Linked DNA regions of Oryza sativa Japonica Group. The protein of the gene in region 3 binds, or shares a complex with, the protein of the main gene of each other region. Links are inferred from orthologs where the notes say so. Each region holds a gene or a part of one and is shown on either strand. Other genes may lie near its edges. The genes, in order: mediator of RNA polymerase II transcription subunit 18, mediator of RNA polymerase II transcription subunit 28, probable mediator of RNA polymerase II transcription subunit 26b and mediator of RNA polymerase II transcription subunit 16.

Evidence for each region.
Region 1: probable mediator of RNA polymerase II transcription subunit 26b (region 3) and mediator of RNA polymerase II transcription subunit 18 share a complex: the UniProt entries of both Arabidopsis thaliana proteins name them as parts of the mediator complex. The link is inferred for Oryza sativa Japonica Group from reciprocal best matches to the Arabidopsis thaliana genes AT5G05140 and AT2G22370.
Region 2: probable mediator of RNA polymerase II transcription subunit 26b (region 3) and mediator of RNA polymerase II transcription subunit 28 share a complex: the UniProt entries of both Arabidopsis thaliana proteins name them as parts of the mediator complex. The link is inferred for Oryza sativa Japonica Group from reciprocal best matches to the Arabidopsis thaliana genes AT5G05140 and AT3G52860.
Region 4: probable mediator of RNA polymerase II transcription subunit 26b (region 3) and mediator of RNA polymerase II transcription subunit 16 share a complex: the UniProt entries of both Arabidopsis thaliana proteins name them as parts of the mediator complex. The link is inferred for Oryza sativa Japonica Group from reciprocal best matches to the Arabidopsis thaliana genes AT5G05140 and SFR6.

The regions. Positions count from the first base shown.
Region 1 is NC_089036.1:5,237,614-5,242,343, reverse strand, and holds mediator of RNA polymerase II transcription subunit 18, read right to left. Parts: upstream 2,984-4,730; 5' UTR 2,791-2,983; intron 2,710-2,790; 5' UTR 2,680-2,709; coding exon 2,644-2,679; intron 1,480-2,643; coding exon 1,380-1,479; intron 1,309-1,379; coding exon 1,251-1,308; intron 1,173-1,250; coding exon 816-1,172; intron 724-815; coding exon 612-723; 3' UTR 424-611; downstream 1-423. Other genes in the region: brefeldin A-inhibited guanine nucleotide-exchange protein 1, read left to right, coding at 3,264-4,249. UniProt on the Arabidopsis thaliana protein: Component of the Mediator complex, a coactivator involved in the regulated transcription of nearly all RNA polymerase II-dependent genes.
Region 2 is NC_089039.1:3,232,083-3,236,495, reverse strand, and holds mediator of RNA polymerase II transcription subunit 28, read left to right. Parts: upstream 1-1,555; 5' UTR 1,556-1,627; coding exon 1,628-1,820; intron 1,821-2,218; coding exon 2,219-2,331; intron 2,332-3,190; coding exon 3,191-3,325; 3' UTR 3,326-3,682; downstream 3,683-4,413. Other genes in the region: U1 small nuclear ribonucleoprotein A, read right to left, coding at 4,068-4,358. UniProt on the Arabidopsis thaliana protein: Component of the Mediator complex, a coactivator involved in the regulated transcription of nearly all RNA polymerase II-dependent genes.
Region 3 is NC_089039.1:20,346,849-20,351,680, reverse strand, and holds the start of probable mediator of RNA polymerase II transcription subunit 26b, read left to right. Parts: upstream 1-1,620; 5' UTR 1,621-2,445; coding exon 2,446-3,036; intron 3,037-3,136; coding exon 3,137-3,205; intron 3,206-3,294; coding exon 3,295-3,377; intron 3,378-3,628; coding exon 3,629-3,684; intron 3,685-3,779; coding exon 3,780-3,904; intron 3,905-4,009; coding exon 4,010-4,037; intron 4,038-4,118; coding exon 4,119-4,498; intron 4,499-4,582; coding exon 4,583-4,724; intron 4,725-4,828; coding exon 4,829-4,832. UniProt on the Arabidopsis thaliana protein: Component of the Mediator complex, a coactivator involved in the regulated transcription of nearly all RNA polymerase II-dependent genes.
Region 4 is NC_089044.1:19,707,008-19,711,605, forward strand, and holds the start of mediator of RNA polymerase II transcription subunit 16, read left to right. Parts: upstream 1-1,478; 5' UTR 1,479-1,736; coding exon 1,737-2,161; intron 2,162-2,847; coding exon 2,848-2,916; intron 2,917-3,098; coding exon 3,099-3,187; intron 3,188-3,357; coding exon 3,358-3,470; intron 3,471-3,654; coding exon 3,655-3,756; intron 3,757-4,207; coding exon 4,208-4,295; intron 4,296-4,393; coding exon 4,394-4,598. UniProt on the Arabidopsis thaliana protein: Component of the Mediator complex, a coactivator involved in the regulated transcription of nearly all RNA polymerase II-dependent genes.

The DNA.
Region 1 (4,730 bases), on a different chromosome or scaffold from region 3:
CATCCTGCACTGAGCATCAGGATGAGTTGATCTCGTCAAGTTGTCAGCAACCTAGCTCTCTCCCCTCCTCTCTAGTTACTCCGGCTTTGTTTCGTTTTGCAGCAACTTTTAGGAAGATCAGTTGTCATTGAGATACTTTGTTGACTATGCAAGTAATGCATGCAGTGTATTCTGATTTCTGGTAACTTGACTGCTAGACTTACATAATAACTAGAGAAAATAGTTTGATGCACACTAATTAACTAGAGAAAAACTACTGGGCAATTGAACGTCCCAAACCATGAGATCCTTACCACGTATGTGACCTAAATTAAAGTAAACAAAGCTACCATCAAATATATTGTCAGGATCATGACAAACTCCAGCTATCAGTCTACCACCAATATCGTCAAGCTTTCCCAGCATTCAGTTTCCACTCTTCAGTAAAAGCAAGCAATGATCAGTGTTCATTTACCAGTCTCCAAAGCAAGGTAGGCAGCATTTAGCATGTCATTACAAGAAAAACCATGGTGCTACTGACTAAAAGTTACAGAACTAAAGATGGCAACAATGTTTTAAGTGGGATGGTCAATGGAGATCATCATGGCATTGCAGCCAACACATATGACCGATCACAACGTTTTACCACCACCACCACCACCACTTGACATGAGTGAGGCGGCAGCAGCGCCTGCAGTCGGGACGATTCCAGTCGAATTGCCTGGTTTAGAGAGATGCAGAAGCCTGCAGTGTGTTTTGCAGTCAAAAGTGAGAAAATTCGTTTATGCCAGTCTAGTAATAATCTTGAGATAGCTAAGGAACACTTAGTTACTTACGGTGCTAGATATTCACAGAACGAAGTGACGGCTGAAACGACATCGTTGTAATTGTCAGCAGCAGCAGGGGCCGTGATTTCCACTAGCTGTATTGCAGGAGTGATTGGCACAGCTTCGTTGGTAGCATGGAGTTTTGTCATCTTGCTAACAGAGGTAACGGTCACAGTTATCTGGGCACCTCGGTGGAAACGAAATGCAAATCCTCCCTTCAGAACTTCATGATCTAACTTGTACCCTATACCGTAGAAGTAACGCAATACATTGTTGCTGGCTTTGCTCTCTACAATTGACCGCACAAGGACTGAGATTTGCTCTGCACCAGCACCTCTCATGGCACCTCCAACATGTCTTATGGTCCTACATGAATACTACTGGATTCAGAATATCATCAAATATCACAAAAATGTAAATTTTAGCAGCTGAAAGAAAAGTTACCAGGATGGCGTGGACTGAGCTAAGTCACACAATAAACGAACCTCTGATGGGACAACTCCTGTATGATTGGAAGATGTATATGAGTAACAATGGCATATGATCAGAATAATGAAAAAGTTGCAAACTGACCTAGATTTGGCCCACTTTTAAGACAGAGCTCATGCACTCTGACACGTTCTTTTGGGACACCAGAGAGGCCCTGGAGAAGAACCTCAAGAGCATCAACATGCTGCATAACAAGAAGATCAACCAAAAGTTACACTGATGTCAAAGCAATGAAAACTAAAAAAGGTTAAATGGTGTTCTAAGCACAAGACATTGACATGTGTATATAAATTAATCCCTTTATTGTAAAATTACAAACCATATAAGTGATATGATTCCTCCAATTGTATATAAAATAGAACCATATCAACATATTGAAAAGAGAATCAAAAAAAGTCTGCAAGTGGCAGAAGTAGTGCCCTCAGAGTGGAGAAACATGGTTGACCATATAGTGGTCAGCATGATCAACTGTATACTTTTTTTTTATTATCCTGAAGGGAAGTGTTGATATGCTGACAAGAGGAAGCTATAAGAGACTAACAAAAGGTCATATAGAGACAATGGATCGACGACAAAGTCTTAATGCTGGCATGAATTATTATTCTCTATTCCCTGATGTGTTTCGTTCAAGAAAAAAGAAATTCTCTATGGACATAAAGTTCCAATACTACTTCATGCTATATGGAGTGAAAAAATAACTTTGTTCCTAAGTAGGACTATTGAGATGTAATTTGACATTGGGGCTATGCAGTTGATAGATTTGCTACCTGGGATAGCTTAAGTGTTACCTTTCAAAAGGTTTTATCACAATTACATTTACAGAGGTCTGTTTTCAGGCAATTGACACCTCCAACAACAAAAATGCTATCTTAAATCAAGTGATAGAAAGTTCATTTAGTAAACGTCGAAATTCTACATTCCAACTCCTTTGGATAAGGTTACTACAAAGCGAAAGGCCAAATAACCTTATGCCAAAAATTAAATAAAATTCAGAATTCTAGATACAACATACAAGTAAGGAGCGCAAATGTCAGATCAGCAAACTTGACTAGTACCGATTTCCCAGAAAGGCCTACCATCATACAAAAATCAAGAATCCATGAAGAACATCACATCTACCATCACTCCGGCTTATGTTACGGGCCATGTATGATTTTCCGGGTAAAAGTTCAAATTGGTCATGTTTTACAGCATAAACAGACAAATCAGTTTCATATGAACAAAAATGCATCGTTGCATAGCTACAGATCACTCATTCTCGGAAGAAACTACCGTTCACTTCAACAACCGCTCACACAGTCACCACTCATACAAGTCTACTGGCGAAGTGAGAAAGAAGAACAATAACCTGGGTCTCGATGATCCCCTGCACCACGCACTCCATCAACCCCACCGCTTCTCGCTACCACAATCCCTGCAAGAGAGACAAACCCTGAAACCACGCTGCGGAATTTCGTCGAACAGCTACCTCGCAGCAACAAAAATTCACCCCCACCTTTAACCTAACAGCAATAATCCGCGGCGCGGCGGGGGCTGAGGCGTCGGGAAGTGAGCCGATCCGAGGCGCAAGAGCTCCCCCCACCTCGCAAACCCCGCGTCCCCGAACACTCCCCTCTCCGCCACTGACCGCTCGCCGTCCTCCGCCGCCTCCTCCTCCTGCAGCGATGGAGACGAGAAGAAAGAATTCCGAGAAACCGAGGGGGGTAAAGTGATAAAATGCCTCACCCCCGCGCGAAGGGTCGCGGCGTTTTTGCATCTAGGCCCCTGGAAGAATCTGAAATTTCAGTCATACCCTTCCTCTGACTTCTCCTCTTCCTCTTCCTCCCCCACGCGCTCGTCTCGTCTTCCTCTCGAATTCCCATTTTCTTCCACCTCCTCCTCGTCTCGAGGTCTCAGATCCAATGGCCGCGACGGCGACGGCGACGACCACCGCGTAGAGCGCGTGAGAGTCTGCGTGGACGGCTAACTATGGCCTCGCCGGCGGGGGCAATCGGCGGCGCGTCGCCGTCGGGGCGGGTGCTGGGCCCTGCGCTGGACCGGATCATCAAGAACGCGGCGTGGCGGAAGCACTCGGGCCTCGTGGCGGCCGCCAAGGCGGCGCTCGACCTGCTCTCCTCGTCGGCGTACGCGTCGGCGTCGGCGCCGTCGCCGCCGTCGCTGCTGCTCGGGTTGCCGGCGGCCGCCGCGGACGCGTGCATCCACGCGCTCCTCCTCGCGCTCGAGTCGGCGTCCCCCAAGGTCGCCGACCCGGCGCTCGACTGCGTCGCCAAGTTGCTCTACCACCGCCTCCTCGTCGGTGATCTCGGCGGTGGCGGCGGCGACGACGACTCCCCGTCCTCCAAGCTGCTCGCCGCCGTGCTCTCCTGCGGCGCGCTCGCCGACGACGCCATGGAGCTCTCCACCCTCCGCGTCCTCGTGGCCGCCGCGCGGTGCCCCTCCGTCGCCATCCGCGGGGAAGGGCTCGGCCAGATGCTCAAGACCTGCTACAACATATACCTCAGTAGCAGCAGCGGCGCCAACCAGCTCTGCGCTAAGCTGGCGCTGGCGCAGGTGCTGGTGATCGTGTTCGCGCGCGTGGAGGTGGACTCCATGGATGTGCGCGTGCGCACGGTGTCGATCACCGACATGATGGACATGTCTGACCGCAACCTGAATGACTCCAGCATTGTCCATGCGGCGCAGAGCTTCATAAACGAGACGATGGAGGGAAGCGATGTCCCTGAGCCGGGGTCCCCGGTTGAGCCGGCCGAGACGGATGGGAAGGAGGATGTTGTCATGAGCAAGATCAGGGAGGATGGGTTGACACTGTTCAAGAACCTGTGCAAGCTGTCCATGAAGTTCTCGACGCCGGATAATCCCGAAGATCAGGTCCTGCTGCGCGGGAAGGTGTTGTCTCTTGAGTTGCTCAAGATGGTTATCGACAATGCTGGGGCATTCTGGAGAACGAATGAAAAGTATGATATGATACTCATTATTGTCTTACTTCTGTGCATTTTAACAGCTCAACTTGCTGTGTTGCCTATCTATATAAATATTGTTGTTGCAGTGATTTAGAAGAATGCAGATGGCTTAAATGACTAAGGGAAGGAAGGCATAAAATGTTCAGTATAGTAATTGATATGGAGGCTTCATGTTTGCCTAGTAGTAACTCAGAAATTATGGATACACATTTTTCTGATACTAATACATTATTTTCACAATCCAGGCACGCTTTACTATTATCTGCTTGGATGTGTCAACATTTTGGCTATATTTTTTTAATGTATTATGATGGATGAAAATTTTTCTAGGGAAAAAAGTGCAGAGTTTAATCTATGGTGGTAGATACATGTTTACGTGACCTACTATTCTGTATTTGAATTGCCATTGGTTCTTTTAAAATGTTTCAAATGATGTCCTGATGATAATCTGCATTTGTATGTTGTTCTCTTAATT
Region 2 (4,413 bases), about 17 Mb from region 3:
AAAAATGTATTAATATGTTAACCATCTTTTTGCTATAGGGAATATTCATCTTAGGCCATGTTCATTTCTTATGCAATCTGAGGATAAAATTTTAGATACTCGTGGCACACTTTTCAAACAGCTAAACAGTGTGTTTCGTACGAAAACTTTCTATATGAAAGTTGTTCTAAAATATCAGATTAATTCATTTTTCAAATTTGTAATAATTAAAATTTAATTAATCACATGTTATTATCACCTCGTTTTGCGTGAAACACTTAATCTTCATCTTCAGGAGATTCAAACACTACCTAATCATTTTTTTATTTGACTATCAATTTAGATTTGATCTTTTAAATATTAAGAAATTTAAGGGGCAACTTACAAAATTTACAATGAGGGTAGGTATGATGACATATTCACTATATGACATATCTCCGTTTTTTTTTTTGAAGAAGTATAGATTAGACCAATTGACTAGCCGACTGGGTACATCGGTCGTACTCCCCAAAATGGCACCAACCTAACCTAATGCTATATTAGATTCTGCTATAACTTATAATCAACTAAGGAGTATATTACATCAATAAAAGAAATATCTACCGATAACATTAAGTTAATTGTGACTATCACTGATCGATTAATTAGATGTATTTATGACAACCGCATGCATACGTGTCGAGCAGCAAAGAAGTGTGTTCACTTTTATGCTACAGTAAAAAAATCAGAAAGTCACGAAGTCAAGCAATATATGTTGCCATATTTGATGTTTAACACAAGATTAAATACACAAACATAAAGATAAATGGGACTTAAACAATATGCATAGGAAAAAAAATATTAGCATTTCATGTTTCTTTTTTCTAAAATACAACGGAAATTCACTGACTCCATATGTTCATATTGTAATCTAAGTTTATCTTTCAGTTAAACTTCTCTAACACCGGTTGGCTTTATAAAAAAAAATACAAAATCTGTAACACCAAATTAGTTTAATTAGATTCATCATGAAATATGTCTTTATTGCATTTATTTATTATTTTATATATTGGTGCATTTTATTCAAACTCAGACAATTAACTTAGAAAAAAATATTTATAGACCTAGAATTTTTCCCAAATAGAATTCCAGATTTATTTTCCAAATAGAAATATCATAAATATCATTATATATATATATATATATATGTATATATATATATATATGTATATATATCTATATATCTAATAAATCAAACTAAGTCTAAATAACTCTAAAACATTTATACATCCTAACAAAGGTATAAATATTTACAGGGTACTTTTAAGCTATGTTCTTCCCCCCATTTTCCCAACCCACCTATCTTGTTTTCCACGTGTACGCTTTTCAAACTGCTAAACGGTGTGATTTATAAAAAAACTTTATATATAGAAGTTGTTTAAAAAAATCATATTAATCTATTTTTTAAAATAAAATTAGATAATACTTAATTAATCATGCAATAAAATAAACTTCGTTTTGCGTGGCAGGAGGAGGGGTTCCCAAGCCCCTCCTCTGAACACAGCCTTAGTAGGTGCGCCAGGCGCACCCATTTTCTAGTAGTTTTTGGAAGAAGGGTTTCATTGCAATTTTGCGATCCCCACCTCTCTCTCTCTCGTCTCTCGCTCTCATGGCCGAGCCGCCGTCGCAGTCGCCGGCGCAGACGCCGCCGCAGGCGGCGCAGCAGCAGCAGCAGGGGCCCGGGGAGAGCGCGCGCGACGACATGATGGCCTGCGTGGCGGCGCTGGAGGCGGCGCTGCTGCCCTGCCTCCCCGCGCGCGAGCTCCAGGCCGTCGACCGCTCCCTCCAATCCTCCCACCAGAGTACGTCGGACTCACTGAGACTGACCCCGCCGCTCCCCCTCTCTCCTCCCTCTGCAGCCTCCCTTCCCCGTCGTTCTTGCGCTTCCCCCGGCCAAGATTTGGCGCGGCTGGTTTGGTTCGACTCGCCCGCCCGCCAGGTGTTCGCTGTTTTGCCTACGAGGTGGGGATTAGGAAGCCCCTCGTGCTCTAGCAAAATGTGGCGAAGTTATTTTTTCTTTTTACTTGCGCTGTTGGTACGCGGGCGTCTCGCGGGTGCTGAGATGAGATTGAGAGGGTGGCATTTGAGCGTTCTACATCTGTGTGCTCAACTGTCGATGTAGAAATTGGATTCTTTTGCTTTGTTGCTGGTTAGCAAAATAGGGATTCTAAGGTGTTGTGGTTGTTATAATGTGGAACAGTTGATGTTGAGAGGCACGCGAGGGATTTCATGGAGGCTGCGAAGAAGCTCCAGTCTTACTTCATCAGCCTGCAGCGCGAGGACCGACCGTCGACAGAAGAAATGCTTCGAAAGGTACATTGCATTGCTTTCGGAACAACTTTGCTTCGAAAGGTACTCCTTGACTTCGAAATGATTAGCAAATTAGAACTTTGTGATTAGCAAATTAGCCTGTAGGTAGAACTAGGACCTTGTTTGGGGGAGCTTAAGATTTTGAGAAGCAATTGGTTGGTAGTCAGTTTATGAGAATATGAAGAAGCTGGAAAGTTAGGTTTCTTGTTTCTAGTTTATTTTCTGTATTCTTTAACTACATCTTCTCAGAATCTAGATGAAAAGCTGAACTGTTTGAGTGAGCTTTTAATTTTAGGAAAAGCTGCAGCTGCCAAAAGCTCCCTCAAACATGCCCTAGGTTGGGTAAGCACAGAGTAACGATTTGACACCAGAGTACACAGACATGGGAGGCTGAGAGCTTGGGGATGGCGAGGGAAAAGGTCTAAAAAATATTCAATTTTCAAAGATAAGGGCTTGAGTTTGTCTCTTTTACAGTCTTGAATTGACTGGGCCAGCTCTAAATCAGTCCCGTATTGTTAGCACTAATTCTCTGAGATGTCTAATTGAAGTTTTTTTTCTGTGTTAGTACTCGTTGTGCTCAACATTTTAGAGTGCTTGAGATCCAATGGTTTTTAATATTTGGCCCATCAATAAGTTTAAAGCTATCTAGATTGGTTGTATAAAATCCATTTGACCCTCTCTTTGAAATCAATTATATTGATGTTATATTGCAACCGTTGTAAAAAAAAAATTGTGCATCGATTTTTCTCTATAAGCTTCATGGGAGAAATCAAGAGAAATCCTATATGGCGTGGTCCCCAAGCTGTAATAATCAAATAATAATGTGTCATCATGTTTTAACATGTCCAGTTTCGGTTTGCAGGATATTGCTATAATGGAGGAAGAGCTGAAGACCAAGTCCGAGCTCATCGACAAACATAAGAAGCTCATCGAAGGGTGGCAGAAAGAGCTGAAGGACCAGCTGGGAAAGCATGTTACTGAACTCGAAAGAGTGTGACACCACTGTCTTCCATGAAATGTCCCAGGCTCCTTCCGATGATCAACCTGAGTAGCCCAGTGCTGGGCTATGCCTTGGAGATTTTGAGTACGCCAGCCAGGAAAAAAAAAACACCACAACAATGTTTTAGGATCTGACCAGTTTGCCGAAGACGAACAAATTGCGCTGTATTAATGTTCGTTGCTATGTTCGGTTTATCATAATATTATTGTTCGTAGTTTCTCGTGTGCTCTCCATCTCATCGTGTTAGGCATGCCTAACATGTTAAACTTTTAGATTTTTCGGAGCAACATCTTTTTCCCGATTATAGGAGTGTATGATAACATGTGTGTTCAATGGAATTGTCTAATTGCCTCACTTGTCATTTTAGATGTTTCTTTCAACATATTAATGATTTAATGGTAATTGAATCCCACAGTTGCTGTCAGGTGACCATGGTGACACAACTACACAAGTATGACTATGAGATGGTAAATATTTTAACGAGGCTAACAGCAATAGCATAAATGTAAATCGTCTCAAGCTGCCATATTTTACACAAGGGAACACGAGTGGAACTAACTAGGAGAACTCACGACTGCAAAGATGGTTCAAATTTCATCTCATTCCTGAAACACACACGGGCAGCTGAGCAGTAGTACATTAACATGGTTGTCATGGTGTAGTCTACCTAACAATGAAAATCTATGGATTATGCGAAAACTTGGGACTACAACATTCATCGAGCAAGTCAATAGTACATTTACTTCTTCGCATACGAGATAAGCATCTGGTTATCTTTCGTAATTTTGAACCCCTGAAGATGGTTCATGGCAGCGGTAGCCTGCCCCTCGTCGCCGTACTCCACGAAAGCAATCCCAGGCTTTGCTTCAACCATTCTGACTTCCTTGAACCCTGGGTACTGACAGAAGAGCATCTGAAGCATCATAGGGGTCGTCTCATGTGGGAGGTTTTGGACGAAGAGGATGTTATTCGGTACAATTATCTCCGGCATCATGACCTTCTGTGCGCCAGCAAAAGGTAGCTGAGAGAGCTGCACAAAACAGTGAGCCAATGAATCGAAGGAATCCAAAAGTAGTGGGCCCAAG
Region 3 (4,832 bases):
AACCGTTAGTGGGAGTAAAAGAAAGTACTTTAGGAAAAAAAGCGTTAGTAAACTTTTCTAAATGTGGCACGCTATAACTGAGTCAATTTTCTATAAGACATAACTATCACCTGATTAAATGAAACGGTTGATTACTTGTTAGGAATTTTACACTAATAAACATAGAGTACTCTACTCTACTAATGATAGTGTACACAGACCTAAAGATAAAAGGAAAATATAAAGTCCTTATCGGACACTAAACACACTTTTCTAAAGATAAAAAGGAAACTAACAAACTATTCCTAATTAATAGATAAACTGCCATGCCGCATCCTCTTTAAACTCGGTCACTTAGAGATAAGCTTCCTTTAGTAGATTGATTTCCTTAACCGAATATAGCAGGAATTCGACTATTGGTGACTTGATAACTCTCATCGGCTGATTCCGAGATGCTACAGCCGATAATGATTCTAAGCCGATGACGCCTTTGTCGATTATCAAATTTCACTGTTAATAGATAGCTCAGTTTTTTATAAATAGAAAGGAGTATTTGCCGCCTAAATATTTTCTTTGATGATACAGCGTATATTGCTAATCAATCTTGATCGCCATTTACTAATCCAAGATTTCGCTACTACATTAGCACCTTGTTTTGAAAAGGATGCTAAAAGTACTCCATTCTTTTTCTATTCAAAAAAGAAGAAGCTATACAGAGCATAAATATTTCTTTGATCCTACGGTGTACTACTGTGCTATACTATATCAAACCATCGATTGGCATTTACTAATCCAATACTATTTCCTCGCACCATGTTTCGAAAATGATGCCAAAAATAGTCCATTGGGCCTCAACAATTAATAGTACTCCTAAAGCACATTCTCCATTCCATAAAAAAACCACCCTATTACCGAAACGTGACACATTCTAATACCACAAATATATTTATATAGATACAATCCAAGTTTACTTTTTAAAATTTGAGTGGCCTACGGCGGCTACGGTTGCATGCACGTATTTTCTTGGTTCCATAAAAAAAATAACATAGTGTTGAACGTCTATTCAGATTTATAGTATTAAAATATATCATATTTCGTACTAATTTAGTCTTTTATAGAATTGAGAGAGTACTCTATTCATCTAAAAATGGACAATCCTTCGTAAGTTGAGTTTTTCTTTTGGGATGGAGGTGGGTACGTGCATACAACTGGTTCACATACTATAGACACTTATATATGAAACAAATAAGAGGATGATCCTATTATATAATAACAGTGATATTATGGTAGATGATGCTCACCTACCCAAGTTTGAAAACTAAACTTGAATTAAGTGGATATCAAACGGGAATCATTAGCCCAATAAACAAAAAACGAATGCTACTATTACCAACCAAACACTACAGGAAAGAGTAGTACTAGTCCCACTCCCACCAACAACAGTTGAGATCCTCTCCAGTACTGCATGTGCCGTACTGCTCACTAATATGTGGGCCCGAGGGGCTATAGGGCTCACATGTCAGGGAGCCTACTGCATGAGAGGACCTGCATCCCACCAACAACTCGACAGGGTCAAAGCCGAGAAACAGCCACGAGGCCGCCTCCCTCTCCAAAACCGTAGTGACCTCGCCCTGTGTGGCTGTGTCCCCAAACCCGGTAAAAAAAAGGGCCCCCCCGGAAAGTCCTAGACCGAGAAAAGCTGCGACCTCCGTTGCGCGAGAGAGAGAACGAGACGAACGGAAGGAGTTGGGAAAGGGAGACGCGAGATTTGTTGTTACCACTAGGAGGCCATGGTGGTGGTGGTGGTGTGCGTGCGGGGGAATTAGGAGGAGGAGTAGTTGTTGTTGTTTGGTAGAGTCGAGCTTGCGTAGTTCTCGTGGGCTCTCGTTTTTGCGTTGCGTGTGCCTCGCCATCCGCCGCGTCCCTATCCAACCCCCCTCCCCGCATTCCCTCTCCCCCTCGTCGTCGTCGTCTTCCTCCTCCTGCGGCGGCGACGGCACAGATAAGATTTGGTTAGGAGCTGTTTTGTTTGTTGGGTTGAAATCGTCAAGTAACGTGGACGTGGGGGTGAAGCAAAGGAAGGGAGGGGAGATTGGGTTTGGGTGGTGTGAGGATTGATTTGTTTTTTTTTTTTGGGGTTTTCTCTTCTTGATTGATTCGTTCTTGGCGTTGAGGAGAGGCAGCGGTGTTCGTTAGATTGATTTTTCGCTGTCTCGGGAGAATTTCGCTTTCCCGGTTGGGGGATTCCCTCGGTGGGGGGCATCTGATTCGCGATCGGGTTGGATTAGATTCTTTTGGTGCAACGTAATCTGATAAGGGGAAAAAGAAATTTCAAGATTGTGAGGAGGAGGAGGAGGAGGTGATCGAGAGAGGGCATCGATTCTTGGTGGTGCCAGGGGAGCCATCGGAGTCGTGGGGGTGGAGGTGGAGGTGGGGGGAGCCCGATCTCGGGTGGCCGCGGCGGCGATGGCCGACCGGCTGGATCGGTGGCGCGAGCTCCTCCGCGGGGCGGCCGGCTCCGCCGGAATCTGCGACGTGATCGAGAACGCCATCCTCGTCGCCGCCGCCGACGCGCCGCAGGAGCTCCTGCGCCGCCGCGACCGCATCTGCGAGATCCTCTTCACCGCGCCGCGCGCCCCGCCCTGCCACCACGGGTGCGGCAGCGCCGCCACCCCGACCCCGGCCACCCCCGTGGAGGAGGACAAGGGCAGCGTGCGCCGCGTCCCCGAGAAGCAGAGCAAGGTGGACAGCAGCAGCAACGGCGCCCTCGGCGGCGGCGGCGGCCGCCGCGACGACGTCGATGACGACTCTGACTCTGACTCCGACGACGAGCGCCTCCGCCGCGCCGCGGCGAGCAACTACGGTCACAACTACGATGATGACGACGAGGAGGAAGAGGAGGAGCAGGAGGCGGCGCCGGCTGAAGAGGACGAAGAACAAGAGCTGGACCCCGAGGCTGTGGAGCTTGAGGCACTCACCAACGAGATCGACGAGGAGTCACAGGTCGTCGGCGAGGTTCTCCGCATCAAGGACCTCTTCTTGCACAAGGAAGATCATGTATGATGAACTATTCCCAGCTTTCAGTTCTTCCATGAGTAAGAGTTGTGCCATTCCTCAACAGGGACTTAACATTTGATCTCAACTGTGGTTTTCGCAGTCGGATGCTACTTTGTTCGAATCACTGAGGAGGCTGCAGCTGATGCAATTGTCCGTTTCCACGCTGAAGGTACTGTGTTGGATAGCGCATATGAGCTATGCGGAGTGACGCATAGTGGTTCTGTTTGGTTTGCTAATCTCCGATGTTGTTTGTTGTAGGCTACTGAGATTGGGAGGGCTGTTAATGGGCTGCGGAAGCACAACTCGCAGCAAATTCGTCACCTTGTGCGCACTCTCATTGAGTAAGTTCAATATGCTTGCACTAAATTTCATTCTCTAGGGCTGATCTAGCTTTTAATTTAGAGAACTTGCTGAAGCAAATTGATACTCTACTGTACCTATAAGTTTCTGAAAACATGATACGAGTCTACTGATTTAGCTTCTGTATTCTCCAGTCTTTGTACTACTTGAGTGAATTATTTACCTTATTTGTAGTGTGGTTATTAACCAATTTTGGAAACATTGTTGACGTCTTAAAACATTTTTTTTTCAGAGGTTGGAAAATTTTGGTTGATGAGTGGGTCAGCACCACTAATGTTGCCCTTACAGGTAATAAAAGTTATTTTGTTTCATATCGCGTATGAGTCATCAATTTGTAAGTGAATGTTCACCTCTTAACATGTAATGGATCTTTTGATCTGTAGACAACTCCCCGGGCTCTTCAAAAACATCTGTTGTCGATGATGCTGATGATGAAGGGCTTCCTTCTCCACCTCTGGATGAAGGGGCGTTCTTTGCAACCCAGACTACTGCTATTCAACTCTCTGAGGTACTAATTTTTGTTTGTTCCTGGTATCTGGATTGTTTTGGTCCAGAACACAATTCTAACTTTGCATTGTTGTTTTTCTTTCTGCTTCATCTTCCTGACCTAAAGTTCTTTGATGAAATGGATGAAGATGGAAGTAAGTACAACAACTCAAATTACATAGTTTCCCTTTTTTTTCTGTGCACTATAATAATTCAAGTTATACATTTTATGACAGACTTGAGACATAACAATGATGGGAGCCTTGGAAATAAGAGAGAAAATTATGGCAGGAGGCCTACAAGCCATCCAGCTTTGACAAAGCAAGAGCCTCCCCGTAACATGGGAGCTGTTGAAAAAGTTCAATCCAGGAGGCCGGAATTGGCAAGGCAAGAGCCATCAATGAGGCAGGCTAACCCACAAACCCCTCAAAATTCAAGTTTGCAAGTCAAACAGCAGGCCATGCTTCACAAGCAATCTAAGCCCTTGAGTTCTGATTCTGGACCTGGGAGACCATTAAGGGCAGCTCCTCAGCAGAAGCCCTTTGTTGAGATGAAATCTAGACTGGCTCGAGAGCAGGTTGCTGTTGAAAGAAAACCTGCAGCGAGCCATGTGGATGTAAGTATATATGCTATTACTAAGGCCTAATAGTATGATAATCCTCAGAACATCATGACTTAAATATCTGAACTTTGGTTCTAGAAATCGAGGCTTCCTGCACAACCTTCAGCAGGAGTCAAGCTAGAGTCGGCAAAGCCAAAGATCTATGATGGTTTGGAAAGCAATAGTAGGCTGGAAGCAGCAAAGAGGAGGCTCCAGGAGCGCTACCAGGAAGCTGAAAATGGTTCGTCTTTCTTCTTTGTCAACACTCATTACCCTCCTTTTTTAACTTGTACAGCTCAAATATTGAGGGTTGCGCCTAATTTTCTTACTGCTCCTTCGACGCAGCAAA
Region 4 (4,598 bases), on a different chromosome or scaffold from region 3:
AGGCGGTGGGCTACGTGGGCCGTTCCATGGTGGGCTGATCACCTGCATATGGGCCGTACAAGGGCTCATGGGCCTGTTTGGCTCGTGTTTGGGCCCATCGCCTGACCTTCCCTTCTTTTGGGTTGGGTTTCTTTGGATTTATTTTTAAGATGGGCTTGTTGTTTTATCGACTTATTTGTTGCGAATAAAATCTTACCGTGCCGTATCATCAATTTCATAGGTCATGACTCTGCTGCATCTATTGGAAAAAAAACATATTTATATTGTATAAACAAAGAAAACATGCGTAGTTAGGATGGGCTATCGACGATCACGACAACAATGATAATAACCTAAATAGAGAGCTAGAGATTCTTATAAAGATTCTTATAAGACGCTTGTGATTAGTCGGCTGATGATAATCTGAAAGGGTTAAGTTTCAAGTTTCTAGCTCCAAGTTCATAATCTCAATTTTTATGTACATATATGTGCTAGCACACTACAATTTCTATATGTACATAAAAATCGAGACAATGATGTAATGAAAGTTGTGGCCTAGAGAGATATCATTTAAAGTAAAATGATGGAATAATACAATTTAATTAAAGATTCGATACATAAACAATTGATGAAATTTGTAACCGAGGGAGATAAATTTTAACTGAAATTGTCAAACTATAAATCTGACGAAAGATTCATTCAAATTCCCAAAAAGGCATACATTCACTCATTTTATCTGCCTTGGTGCCAAATTTAACGAAATTTATGTACCCAGTTTCAAATAAATAGACGACTATCCCCATTTTCTTACAAGTTACAATCCACCGCAAGACCACAACACCAAGATTACCCGCCTCCATGCCAATTTCAATGAAATTCGTGTATCCAATTTTAAATAGACAGACAACACTCTTTATTTCGTTACAAGTTAGTACATCTAGGTACTATACAAGAGTAATATTGGAGTGTGTAAAAAACTGCCGTAGATTTTTTAAGTGTAAAACTTCGAGATTAAATTATATTATAATTGAAGTATAGTTGTACTGTAACTGTATTGTAACTACGGTATAACTTATATAAAACATGTATTTAACCGTGGTTTGGCTGACTAGCACCGAGATCTTGCACATAACATGTATGATATTTTTGTAGCAATGTTATCTCTTGAATGTACAAATCTCCAGTAACCCGATGACCATAAATCTGAAAGTTTTGAGAGAAAAAGGGTGTGTTTAGTTCACGCTAAAATTAGAAGTTTGGTTGAAATTGAAACGATGTGACAGAAAAGTTAGAAGTTTGTATGTGTAGGAAAGTTTTGATGCGATGGAAAGTTAAAAATTTTTTTAAAAAAGTTTGGAACTAAACTCCACGGAACTTGCAAAAGTTTTCTAGCAATTTCGATCCAAAATTCAACGGAATTCGTACATACCCAGAGCTCACCACTCCCGAAACGCCACCAAAAGACCAAACCCACTCGTTTCCCCTCCCCCCCTCCCTCTGACTCTCTCCCCGTCGTCGTCATCGTCATCGTCGTTCGTCGTCGTCGTCTCCCCTTTCCACGGCCGCATCCCATTCCCCACCCAACCTGAAAGCGACGCCGCCGCAGCGCACACGCAGGAGGCAGCAGCAAAGCGAGGAGGGGAGGAAACCCTCCCCCCGCGACAGCAACGGGCGGTCGCTTCCAGTGACCTAAGCCTCCCCCTCCCCCCCTCGCGCGCGCTTCCCTCCCCTTCGCCTTTTTGTCTCCTCCGCCCCTTATGACCTCTTCCTCCGCCCCAAACCCTAGCCCCCTCGTCCCCACCCCCACCCCCTCTCCCCCCACCGCCAACGCCGCCGCCGCCGCCGCCGGAGCCGTGCCCGTCTCCTCGCCGACGCCGCCGCCCAAGGATCAGCAGCAGGAGGGCCAGGGGGGTGGAGGAGGAGTGGGGGATGGGGGTGGAGTGGAGGAGGTGGGCGTAGGGGGAGGCGAGGCCATGGAGGTGGATGGTGGCGCGGGAGGTGGTGGTGGGGGGGTTGGGGATGTGGAGGGGGGTGGGGGTGGTGGTGGTGCGGGGGGAGGAGGAGGTGGAGGTGGAGGTGGGCAGCAGGCGTCGCCGGCGACCGTGTTCCGGATCCGGCTCAAGCAGCCGCCCTCGAGCCTCCGCCACAAGATGCGCGTGCCCGAGCTCTGCAGGAACTTCAGGTGCGTTTCGAGATTAGTTGTGGTTTTTTTGGGGGTGTTTTTTCTTTCTGGGATTTAAATATGTTGGGGGAAGCTTAGGTGTGATGAATTTAAACCCTGATCTGTTTCAGCTTATTCATCGATTTATTGAAATGGTTTTTTTCCCCCCGAAAGAAATTTTCCTCTACTGTATTGCTTAGACCACTTGTTTTAAGCTATTTGTTAAGTTTGTCTCTCAAAATATCTAATTTATCCCTATAATATATCCATGACAATAATCCACTCAATAATCTAAATCAAACGATCTGGGTTTACTTTTTTTTTCCTCTTCAAATTTGGGTGGCGTTTCAATGATTGGGATGAACAATCTAGTGACTCAAACTTGCAGAAGCATTAGCGTGGGCATGGAATTGTGATTGCTTTGAATGATTGTATCCTGTGCAGGCTTCTACTATACTAGATCAAATACAGTTATAACATGTAGTGTCATTATTTCACATAACTAAGTTTAGTCAGGTCAAACTGGTTACTTTGTTCACCAGTTAGAAAATACCGAACGTGATAACTCCATTTTTAAAATCCACATTATTTTTTTTTGTTTAAAACTGCTTTGATCTTGTAGGATGAGGTTGCCTTGTCTGCTTTAGCCTACACTATATCGGGAACAACTAGTAACTATCTTATCTATGGTTTTTTTTTTATTGCAGTGCAGTTGCTTGGTGCGGGAAGCTCAATGCAATTGCATGCGCATCAGAGACTTGTGCACGCATACCAAGGTATACATTTTTCCATCCTTTCCCTGAAAATTTACTTTCCTCTGACCTTTAGTTATCCATAAATAAGTTTGTTCTGTTAGCTTGTCTTAGTGGGATATTCAACCATTTGGTAGAATTGTTTGCTTACAGTTTCTGGTTATGAAGGTTTCTTTGCCGTAAAACGATCTAATGTATATTTTCAGCTCTAATTCAAGCCCACCATTTTGGATTCCCATACACATTCTAAATCCAGAGAGACCAACAGAATGTTCTGTTTTCAATGTGAAAGCAGGTAATCCATGGCTAAATCTCAATTGTTTTGGTAATGTGATTACGTTATGCATGTGCAAATCACTGTCCATTGGGCATTTTATAGTCAGGTGAAGGGTGAGATTCAAACTCACTTTTGTTTATATACGAGTTTTTCTACCTCCAATCCTAACTCACTGTAATTTTGAACAGATTCTCCACGCGACTTTGTTCAATTCATTGAATGGTCTCCTCGATCATGCCCTCGTGCATTACTGGTGGCAAATTTTCATGGAAGGATTACTATATGGACACAGCCAACTAAGGTACATCTCTACCTTAAGCAAATTTCGGTATGCATATCATTTTTTTTTGTTAGTAGTACCATTGAACTTACTTTGTTAATTTGCGAAACACTCAGGATTTTCTTTTTTCATTTCAAGTCTATATACATATCATGCTGTTTTGTGTTTTTTCTCTAATACTTGTTTCTTTCTTGATATGGTGAAGGGTCCTACTAATCTTGTACGTGATGCCAGTTCCTGGCAATGTGAACACGAATGGCGTCAAGATCTTTCGGTGGTGACTAAGTGGTTGTCAGGAATTTCTCCGGTTTGTTGCCAATTTGCAAACTTACAGTCTGCTTCTCTTGTTTTTGATAATTAGCACTTTACACTTGGAATGCAAATATGCAATACGATTGACCCAGCAGTTTATACAGTCCGCTTCACAATTTAACATTCGAGATTTATATACTTTTCAGTGTCAATTGTTAATCATTATTTTTTTAAAATATAATATTTTATAAAGCAGTGACAATAGACTTGAGTTTAAACTGTTCTAAGATTTTTTCACTGGACATTTATCATAAACAATTGCAACAATTAGGTAAAAAAGATTCTGGCTCAGTTTATGTCTGAGTAAGTACTTTGATCTATTTCAAATGACACTACCTGTGTTTGATTACCCTTTTGGCCTGAAATAAGTGGATCTTAGAATCGAAGGAATATAATTACTAAGCTGTTGCCACGGCTAAATTTGTTTTGTTTCTTTGACTTTGCAGTATAGATGGCTTCCTGCAAACTCTAGTACTTCATCAAACTTGAAAACCTTTGAGGAAAAGTTCCTTACCCAGCAGCCTCAAAGTTCGGGTTGGTTAAACACATATATTACTGAGCATATATTTTTTTTGGAGGAGAAAGCAAGCATGCTTCTTTACGCTACTCTGACATATTGCTGTTTACTGCAGCTGGGTGGCCAAACATTCTATGTGTCTGTTCAGTTTTTTCATCGGGTTCTGTTCAGCTTCATTGGTCACAATGGCCTTCTCAAAACTCAGCACAACCTAGATGGTTTTCTACTAGCAAAGGGCTTTTAGGAGCAGGGCCAAGCGGCATAATGGCTGCTGATGCTATTATTACTGAAACTGGAGCATTACATGTTGCTGGTGTTCC